3 linked regions of the Kluyveromyces lactis genome follow. The main gene of each other region encodes a partner of the protein of the gene in region 3 in a complex. Links are inferred from orthologs where the notes say so. Each region holds a gene or a part of one and is shown on either strand. Other genes may lie near its edges.

Region 1 (2,293 bases), on a different chromosome or scaffold from region 3:
GAAGGATCAAAACAGAGGTGGTCATTCTTCATCTGGTGGTCGTGGTCGTGGTAGAGGTCGTGGCGGCAGAGACCGGGGTGGCAGAGGCGGCAGAGGCCGTGGTTCTTCTTCCACTGACTGAGCGTTTACCTTTTCATAATATCGAAATTTTCCGCAGCAATGCTGGCGCTGTCTAAAACGCGCATTGAAGTGCAGTTGAACGTAAGTGAAGGAAACCATATGCTCCTAAGCTCCTCGTTATTCATCATCTCTATCTGATTTTCACGTAGAAATTATCTTTCGGTAGAGCGAAAGCATCTATATGTTCGTCTTCCAACGAAGTACGACGGGATAAGAAAAGTTTCCTGTCATCCAAATCCCTTGCGTTTCACGCATCATTAATCATTATATTTTGTATAGTATTTGATGTCATTTAAATAGATTACATTATTAACATTTAAGAACGTCACCAACATCATTTTTACCCATACTGTTTTCTTGTTCTAAGGAAGATTCAGAGGATCATTCCTGCAAATAAAGCACTCGGCTTACTTCATTTATGGGTAAATCTGCAACACCGCTAGTTTCATTAGTGATGTACCAATCTAACTCCGAGAAGTTTTTGTATTCAACTATTCTCCCTTGAGTATCAGTTATCGTTCGCATATCATCAAGTGGGACCGTTAACATGTCAATATTATAGGAAAGCATTCCGACGTAAGTGAAAAGCATTGTCATTAGTACAAGACATTGGATGGCTATTAACCAATATCTTTGAGGTAATATCTCGTAAACTTCGGCTATGGCTTGTCCTTGTAGTATAATCTTTGGTAAGAATGCCCACACAACTATAAAGAAGACAACTAATGTGGATGAAACATATACGGAAAATCCGCCATACTGTCTTTCTTTATTCATTTAAAAACATAAGTAAGTGATAATGAGCGTTAATATATTTAGAGATGGTTTGAAGTGATCAAAGTGGAATCAAACATTTGATGGTTAGGTATTATTACTAAATTACTCTCTTATTTTACATTTATATAACGAACGATAGTGTTTATTGATTTTGTTCATCGATTTTTTTTATTTTAGTTTCGTACGCAGTCGACATAGGAAAGGCAGACGAAAATGTTTGAAAATAACGGTAAATGTCACATAGTAGATAAGAGGTGATTTTTTGGGAATCGGTTCGAGCTGGTGTCCTTTCCGTAACACTTGCCGACTTTTTCTTGCCAGTCATTATTAGAAAGATTTGTTTTTGAGGAAAACACTTAGGATTAACTCCTAGAATCGAATATGTAAGTGTTAATCTCCACAGTAGTAGTTACGAATAAAGACGAAGATTAGTAAGGGAAAGCTTCAACATCTGAAAAATATATTTGTTGAATCTCATGGCAAAAACACCCAAAGGACTCTTCACTAATAACTGTCCTTTAATAAGATATCATTGAGATGGTTCTTTTGGTAAGAAATGACGAGAATGTAAAATAAACACTGTAAAGTATTTAATGTGACTGTTAATCAAGCCACCAATGCTAAATTGAGTATGACATCGATATGTGATTGTTGGTAATGAAAACAACATATTGATCTTCACTCTTGTATTTGTTCCAGTTGCTGTTGTTGTTGTTGTTGTTGTTGTTGATTGGCTAGCTTTCTTTCTTGTCTGCCCTTCTTCATGACTTGTTTCAATGCGGTACTATCTAGAGGTTCTAACAACTCGAACGAACACAATAAACCTTCGCTCACGCTCATTACTGCACCCCAGTTATCAAATTCTCCGCAGTAATTTGGAGCAGAAAATACCGTTACCAAACTTCTATCATTGAAAAACTCGTAGCCGTCTTCGACGACCATATGTGCTCTACAAACTAAATCAAAGCCAAACTTATTCAAAAATTTGTTGATCGCAACCTTATTGTAACAGTAAGACACACCACGTTCGTTGTCTTCCCACTCATTTGGAGAATCTGTTGGATCCGACCATAAAAGGTCATTGATTAGACCAAAGTCTGGAACATCAGTAGGTCTGCTTACGTGTCTAATTTCATCCATTGAATTCAATACTGGTGATAATCCTCCATGAACACAGAAAATCTTCCCGGCTACGATCGCAGCTAGGGGCAATGCGTTAAATGTGTCAATGAATGTTTTCCAAGTTTTGATATTACACCGTCTTTTACATTCATCATAGAAACCGTAAACTCTTGTGACGTTTGCGCATTCATGATTACCTCTTAACAAGAAAAAGTTTTCAGGGTATTTGATTTTATAGCAAAGTAAGAGCAGAATTGTCTCTAATGACTGTTTA
Region 2 (2,898 bases), on a different chromosome or scaffold from region 3:
ATCCTATCTATTCCATAACTTTTAACAAAGAAGGTAACTGTCTAGTAACAGGTGGTGCGGATCAAAGTGTTAGAGTTTGGGATATAAAGAGGTTTACAAACGAGCCTGGAATGGAGCCGGAACAACAATTCAACACGTATTCAGGAGATATGGAACTCAGTGTAAATAACGATATCAAAGAATTCGGACGTAGGCGGGCAGTAATACCAACTCAGGATTTGATGGCTTCGTTCCATACAAAGAAAACAGCAATTCACAAAGTAAAATTCACAAGAACGAACCTAGTTTTGGCTGGTGGTGCATTTATTGAGTAAATGCGATTACTTTACTCAGCCAGATAAGGGTCGTTTATTCGACATATCTAGTAGTTGTCCAATTGTAATAAATAAAAAAAAAGAGAATGCGCTTTATCTTTATATTATTTACAATGAGTACGTATATTTTATGTGCATTGATATCAATGCAGTCAATGAAATGTAAATGTTAACAGAATCCTAATAACTAATCTAATATTGGTTTTTCAGCGTCCCACTGCTGTAAAATCGGATGTCCTTTATAATAGTAGCTTTCCCAGTGGATATAGTAATGAGGGATTCCAAATAATAGTAACAAAGATGATATTCCCAAAGGTATCGTGATCCCGACACCCATTAACTTCGTTATAAAATAGTAGACTGTACCATGTGTCGCAATAACACATAGTATATGCAGGAATTTCAACTTATTCTTTATGAAATACTTTTCCATCGTCGGCAGTAGAATGTTAATTTGGATACATATCAAAAGGAAACAGAAAACTTGGGTGGAGGTATCTAATCTTGAAGAAAGTACGGTCACATTTGAGAGTAGAATATTGGTCGGTAGGATTTTAGATTCAAGAGCGGAGATCGATATGATGTAAAAGGTTGTGAACCATGCAGATAGAGTCCAGATGGAATCGGACGAAGTTGTCTTGGACAAAGATTTAAGCACTGGAGATAAGGTCAACATTGCAAATATAATGATGATAGTGGATTTCCAGGGTACCCTCTTGTTGGCAACTATTAAGGAAACAGATGAAATTGAGGCAGCAATTAAAATCGGATTGTATTTGTAATGATAGAACCAGGCAAATATAATATAGAGTAACATAGTATTAATAATCATGTGGTAAAACTGGAAGAGATCAAGTAAAACAGACCTGTACGAGGAGTGAGGCCTCAAATGCCCATGTTCAATTTTCAACTTCTCCCATTGTTTGTAGAAACTTGGATCAGTGTAGGTATCTGGGAACGGCTGTTTCAACCACAATAACCGTTTCCATTGTTTCCCCGCAGCCATTAACAACTATAAGAGAAGACAATTTGTTATTCGGGAAACGACTAGCACAATATAGTCACTACAGTCTGGACAAAAGAAACCTGGAGATTTGCCGCTATACTCGCGATAAATCTCTGCGAGTGCAGGAAGTTACTTCAGTTCAACAGTCGTCGCTAGCTTTTTCGAATCATTAAAATTAGAGATTGATACGTAAAAAAGCTAATCCATTACAACTTAATATCACAGCACAGCCAGCGGGAGCACCCGCACAAGTAAGATACAAAGGATATAGCCTAACTTACTGCTCAACTCATTGCTACATATACCCAATGGATCAATCTAGCAGGGAGACATCAAATTCGTTTGATCAGGTAACCAGGCAATCTTCAAACAATGAACGAAGACCTACGGATTCTAAAGCCATACCGAGAACTTTACCCAAGGATACCGTTCCAGACGACGTACATGCTACACCAAAAGTGGATGACAAGGATAGGATATGGACAGATATAGATACACTAGATGATGTGAAAAGAATGGCCAGAGAGGGCAATACTGGCCTTACTTTCCCGGATAATTTCGAAGAGGATATTACCCGCTTACGCCAGATGCATGCGAACTTGATGCAGCACATGAAGAGACAATCAACAGAGACCCCAGGAAATCTTGAAGAACAACAGAAACACATCAATGATATCGTAGATACCATTGAGAGATATAACTGAATAAATACTTCAAATCACGTGATGAATCACGTGCCACAATTACCCTGACTTTTTGTTGAGTATTAGTGGAAGCTAAGGTTTCCAAGGACCACCGGTTTCTTCTACGTGCCTTTCACTATTTGTTTACTGGATGGTGCGAAACAAATAAAAAAAGCGGAAGCTGACAGAAATTACAAGTTGTTCCGAATAACGATGGGATATACGAATTGATGATTGAACGTAGTATGGAAAATAATAGGAACGTTGAGAAAAAAAAGGATTTGGTATTTTCCATCACCTGCGAATTTGAGGGAAATGGTTAACTTAAATCGTGGATTCTTTATATATATATATTCTCTGGTGAAGGTTCTTGATCAATTGCTTCTTCCAATTGGTATTTCGATTGTATTCTTGAGTCACGTAGAAAGGAATTTGTGATTAGGGTTTAATCGCTGAATTCTGAAGTGACCTTTTAACTGACCGTAAAGTACAATAAAAGGTTTTAAAGTTCTGTTAAGATAGATTCTAAAACAGAAATAAAAAGACAAATATCAGAAATGGCTTCTAAGAACACTTACTCTGACTTCAAGTTGGCAACTGAATTGCCAGCCTGGAACCAATTGCAATCTTTGTACGAACAAAAGGGTAAAAAGCTAAATGTTAAGGACGAGTTTGCTAAGGACAATTCTCGTTATGAAAAGTTTGCCAAGACGTTTGTCAATTACGATGGTTCAAAGATCTTGTTTGATTTTTCCAAGAACTTAGTTGACGATGAAATCTTGAAGTCTTTGATCCAATTGGCTAAGGAAGCTAAGGTCACCTCATTGAGAGATGCCATGTTCAACGGTGAACCAATCAACTTCACTGAAGGACGTGCTGTGTACCACGTTGCCTT
Region 3 (3,326 bases):
ATCATCCAGGACTTAATCCTCAAAATTGAAGTTCTTGAGTCGAAATATGCCAGGAATAAGGAAATGGAAGGTTCCTTATCCAGCTTGAAAAATGAGCTATTAGAAGTGAAATCAAGAAACTCTAGCCTTCAGGATGAATTGGTGAACATGGAGGCGGAGTACCAGCAGTATCGCAACAATAGAGAACAAGAAATAAAGAACGCCAATAATTTATTTCATACAAAGGCATTAAACAATATCCAATCGCTTAGAGAAAACAATGATAAATTATCATTGATCGCTGAAATCTCAGATTTACAGAGGATTATTCTTCGAAAAGAACAAGAATCTCGCCTCAAATTGTCCATACCATTGTTTGATACTCATCGAAAACAGTTTTCCAGTAGAAACATGTTCAATGATTTCAACAATATGGCAAATATCTTATCGACGTGCATTGAGTTAGCAGACCCTATCATCTCTAATGAGTTTACCTCCATTAGGAAGCACAGGCTCGCAAAATTGAAAGAAACTCATGAATTATGTGTGACATATACATACGAAATGCTCAAAGGTGAGTATTAATTATTAATCATTAATCATTATATATGAGGGTCTCTACAAATGCGGGAATTCCATTTAACAACCCTATCAATATCACCTGCTGGATATAGAATTTCTAAAATATAGAGTAAAATATATTCCACTATAGCGCAAAGAACATACAATAATCTGGCCCAATTTCCATCTTGTCTATAATACTTTTTTAGCATAACGACCCAATTCTTGTTTAAGGAGCGTACATCTAAAGATATCCTGTCATAAACCTGGACGGTTCTTTCAGCCACATTCATCCAGTCATACATTTGTGCGATAGTTTCATGAAATTGTGTTGTATTAACTTTGCTATGTCCTATGCGATGTATCGCTTTGTTCATCGCCTTTATCAAACTAGATACCGAGGTTTCCTGGGCATATACGGTCATATATTCAGGAAGGACCTCCGGTATACCACCGACAGATGTTGTTACTATTAGTAACCCGCACGACGCAGCTTCAACCAAAACTGTTCCAAATGCTTCAGTTAAACTTGCATGCAGGTATATATCCCCTTGGCACATGACATCTCTAACATGTTCGTGTCGCACAGATCCTAAAAGTTGAACGCGTTCCTGAAGCCTATTATTTTCTATCATTTGTTGGAATGCAATGAACTTTGGCCCATCTCCAGCAACAATGAAATCGACGTTATCGTTATTCGTACAAACCTTTGGAATTAAGTGTGTCAAAAGGTCAGCTCCCTTATTGGTATACAACCTGCAAATCACCACTACTGTTATTCTGTTAGATTTTTTCTTTATTGTTGAATCTCTAGGCTTGAAACTGCTGGAAACAACCGCATTCGGTATGACTGACACATTATCTGGATCAAGATTTGCTCGGAGTATTATATTCTCTTTACAAGTATGAGAGACAGCAATGACAGCATCGATGTTGCATAAAGTGAATTTTAGTAGCTTATTGACAAGAATTGAACCGAGACTATCAAATCCATATAAAGAATGGTCTGTAAACACAGTCTGTATCCCCATTGTATTCGCGTGTAGTATTCCTTCGTGCGCAAAACTGGAAACACTTCCATGCGAATGTAATACATCAATCTGTTCTCTAATCAAAATATTTCTGAATATAGGAAAGCTTCCAAATACTGTTGGAAAAGTGGTCTGTCTATAGAGTACCAAGTATGGAACATAGTAAACTTTCAAACCGTTTGATAGATATCGTATTCCTGTTCGATCTCCGTAGGCATGAGTTATAACACAAACATTGTGCCCCATTTTGATTAGCTTTTGAGATAAATGGTATATATGGAACTCAACACCCCCAAGCTGCGGGTAGAAGAAATCGCAAACCATAGCTATGTTGTATTTTTGTTCAGCCATTCTTTAGACATTGATGTGTTTGATATGAATTAAGTGTTTAATATATCGAAACAATTTATCGTTCAGATTAACCCGTTTTGGAGCTACAACTTTTGTTAGACTATACAAAGAATATTTGTATAATTGCACTGAAGTTTTAAATCTCTCAATATGCTTTACTTTAGCGTTACTTAATCTGTACTTTCACTCCTCACTCTTTACCACTTTCTGTTGACTGTTTTTCGATCTTTGGTTGTCTCGATGAGTATTTTGTACAGAAGGTTTAAAATAACCTCGAAATTTGGAAACGTAACCTTTTCCAATACACTTCCGAATATTATCTTGAGGGGTTATCGAGTAAGCAGTGAGATTTCAAGCATATTTAGTTGGTCCACGTTAAGCCAGCGAATAGAGCATTTCGTTAAAGCCTGAAAAATGCCTCGTGCACAAGGGCGGTACCAAGGCGTCAGTCAAGATGAGGATGTCAGTCTTCCAGATGTGTCTTCGGAAAATGTCGTTGACCTGGATGAATCTTTACTACCGCCAAATCCTCCTGAATACGACATCGAATCGCGTCCTGATATACTTCCAATGGAACTTGATATAGAACAGGAAGATACTATTAGTTCAGTGGGTCGTTTTCAAAGGTTAAAGACCAGAATTGAGGATAATTTGATATTTCCAATGAAGAACAATGTTGTCGATCCTCTCGTACAGGTATATCAAATGGCTTCTGCGAAGGTTGATCTATATTTGAGCAAACTGGGAAATCCTTTAATCCTCCGCAGATTTGTGTATATACTTTTCATGTCAGTGATTGTGTACACCGTGGTTATGAGCGGATTGATGCCCAATAGCAAGAGCACCGCCACTATCGGAATGTTCTCGGATAAAAACCAATTAATCTATTACGCGAGACGTTCCATCGACTATGCGAAGTTAGAGGAAGATATGGAATACTTAAGCAGCATGCCTCATTTAGCTGGTACTAAAGGTGATTATGCTATTACGAACTATATCAGAGAATCGTTCAAAAATAATGGATTAAAATTAATGAAGGAGGTTCCGTTCCAAGGATATATGAATTTCCCAAACGAGGTTGAGTTTAGCGTTACTACTTCGGACAATAAAGTGCATGAATTTGCTTTATCAAAGGAAAATTTTAACCCATTAAGCAGTAACGGGAACATTCAGAATGCCGATATAATATATGCAAATTATGGGACTGTCGCTGATATCCAATCATTGAAAGAAAACGGGTTACTTTCCGACAATACTGTTCTCGTTATGAAATATGGAAACTTACCTAGTGAGCAGATACTTGTCGCTGAAAAACATGGTATCAAAGGTATTATTTTTATATCAAAGCCCTTTGGAAATGATGGTGATGTCATACAGAAACTCTCAGTAGCGATTCCTCAGTAC

What was found. Proteins that work in one complex are often made in the same cells at the same time.
Region 1: SPT14 (region 3) and GPI19 share a complex: the UniProt entries of both Saccharomyces cerevisiae proteins name them as parts of the phosphatidylinositol N-acetylglucosaminyltransferase (GPI-GlcNAc transferase) complex. The link is inferred for Kluyveromyces lactis from reciprocal best matches to the Saccharomyces cerevisiae genes SPT14 and GPI19.
Region 2: SPT14 (region 3) and GPI2 share a complex: the UniProt entries of both Saccharomyces cerevisiae proteins name them as parts of the phosphatidylinositol N-acetylglucosaminyltransferase (GPI-GlcNAc transferase) complex. The link is inferred for Kluyveromyces lactis from reciprocal best matches to the Saccharomyces cerevisiae genes SPT14 and GPI2.

What each region holds. Positions count from the first base shown.
Region 1 is NC_006038.1:89,350-91,642, reverse strand, and holds GPI19 (phosphatidylinositol N-acetylglucosaminyltransferase GPI19), read right to left. Parts: upstream 898-2,293; coding exon 502-897; downstream 1-501. Other genes in the region: PSP2 (Psp2p), read left to right, coding at 1-121; PPZ1 (salt homeostasis regulator), read right to left, coding at 1,576-2,293. UniProt on the Saccharomyces cerevisiae protein: Part of the complex catalyzing the transfer of N-acetylglucosamine from UDP-N-acetylglucosamine to phosphatidylinositol, the first step of GPI biosynthesis. Involved in cell wall biosynthesis.
Region 2 is NC_006041.1:2,090,683-2,093,580, forward strand, and holds GPI2 (phosphatidylinositol N-acetylglucosaminyltransferase), read right to left. Parts: upstream 1,321-2,898; coding exon 502-1,320; downstream 1-501. Other genes in the region: TAF5 (chromatin modification protein), read left to right, coding at 1-314; KLLA0_E23497g (DUF5315 domain-containing protein), read left to right, coding at 1,629-2,024; PGI1 (glucose-6-phosphate isomerase), read left to right, coding at 2,561-2,898. UniProt on the Saccharomyces cerevisiae protein: Part of the complex catalyzing the transfer of N-acetylglucosamine from UDP-N-acetylglucosamine to phosphatidylinositol, the first step of GPI biosynthesis.
Region 3 is NC_006039.1:839,531-842,856, forward strand, and holds SPT14 (phosphatidylinositol N-acetylglucosaminyltransferase SPT14), read right to left. Parts: upstream 1,923-3,326; coding exon 582-1,922; downstream 1-581. Other genes in the region: NIP100 (Nip100p), read left to right, coding at 1-564; KLLA0_C09735g (uncharacterized protein), read left to right, coding at 2,337-3,326. UniProt on the Saccharomyces cerevisiae protein: Catalytic subunit in the complex catalyzing the transfer of N-acetylglucosamine from UDP-N-acetylglucosamine to phosphatidylinositol, the first step of GPI biosynthesis.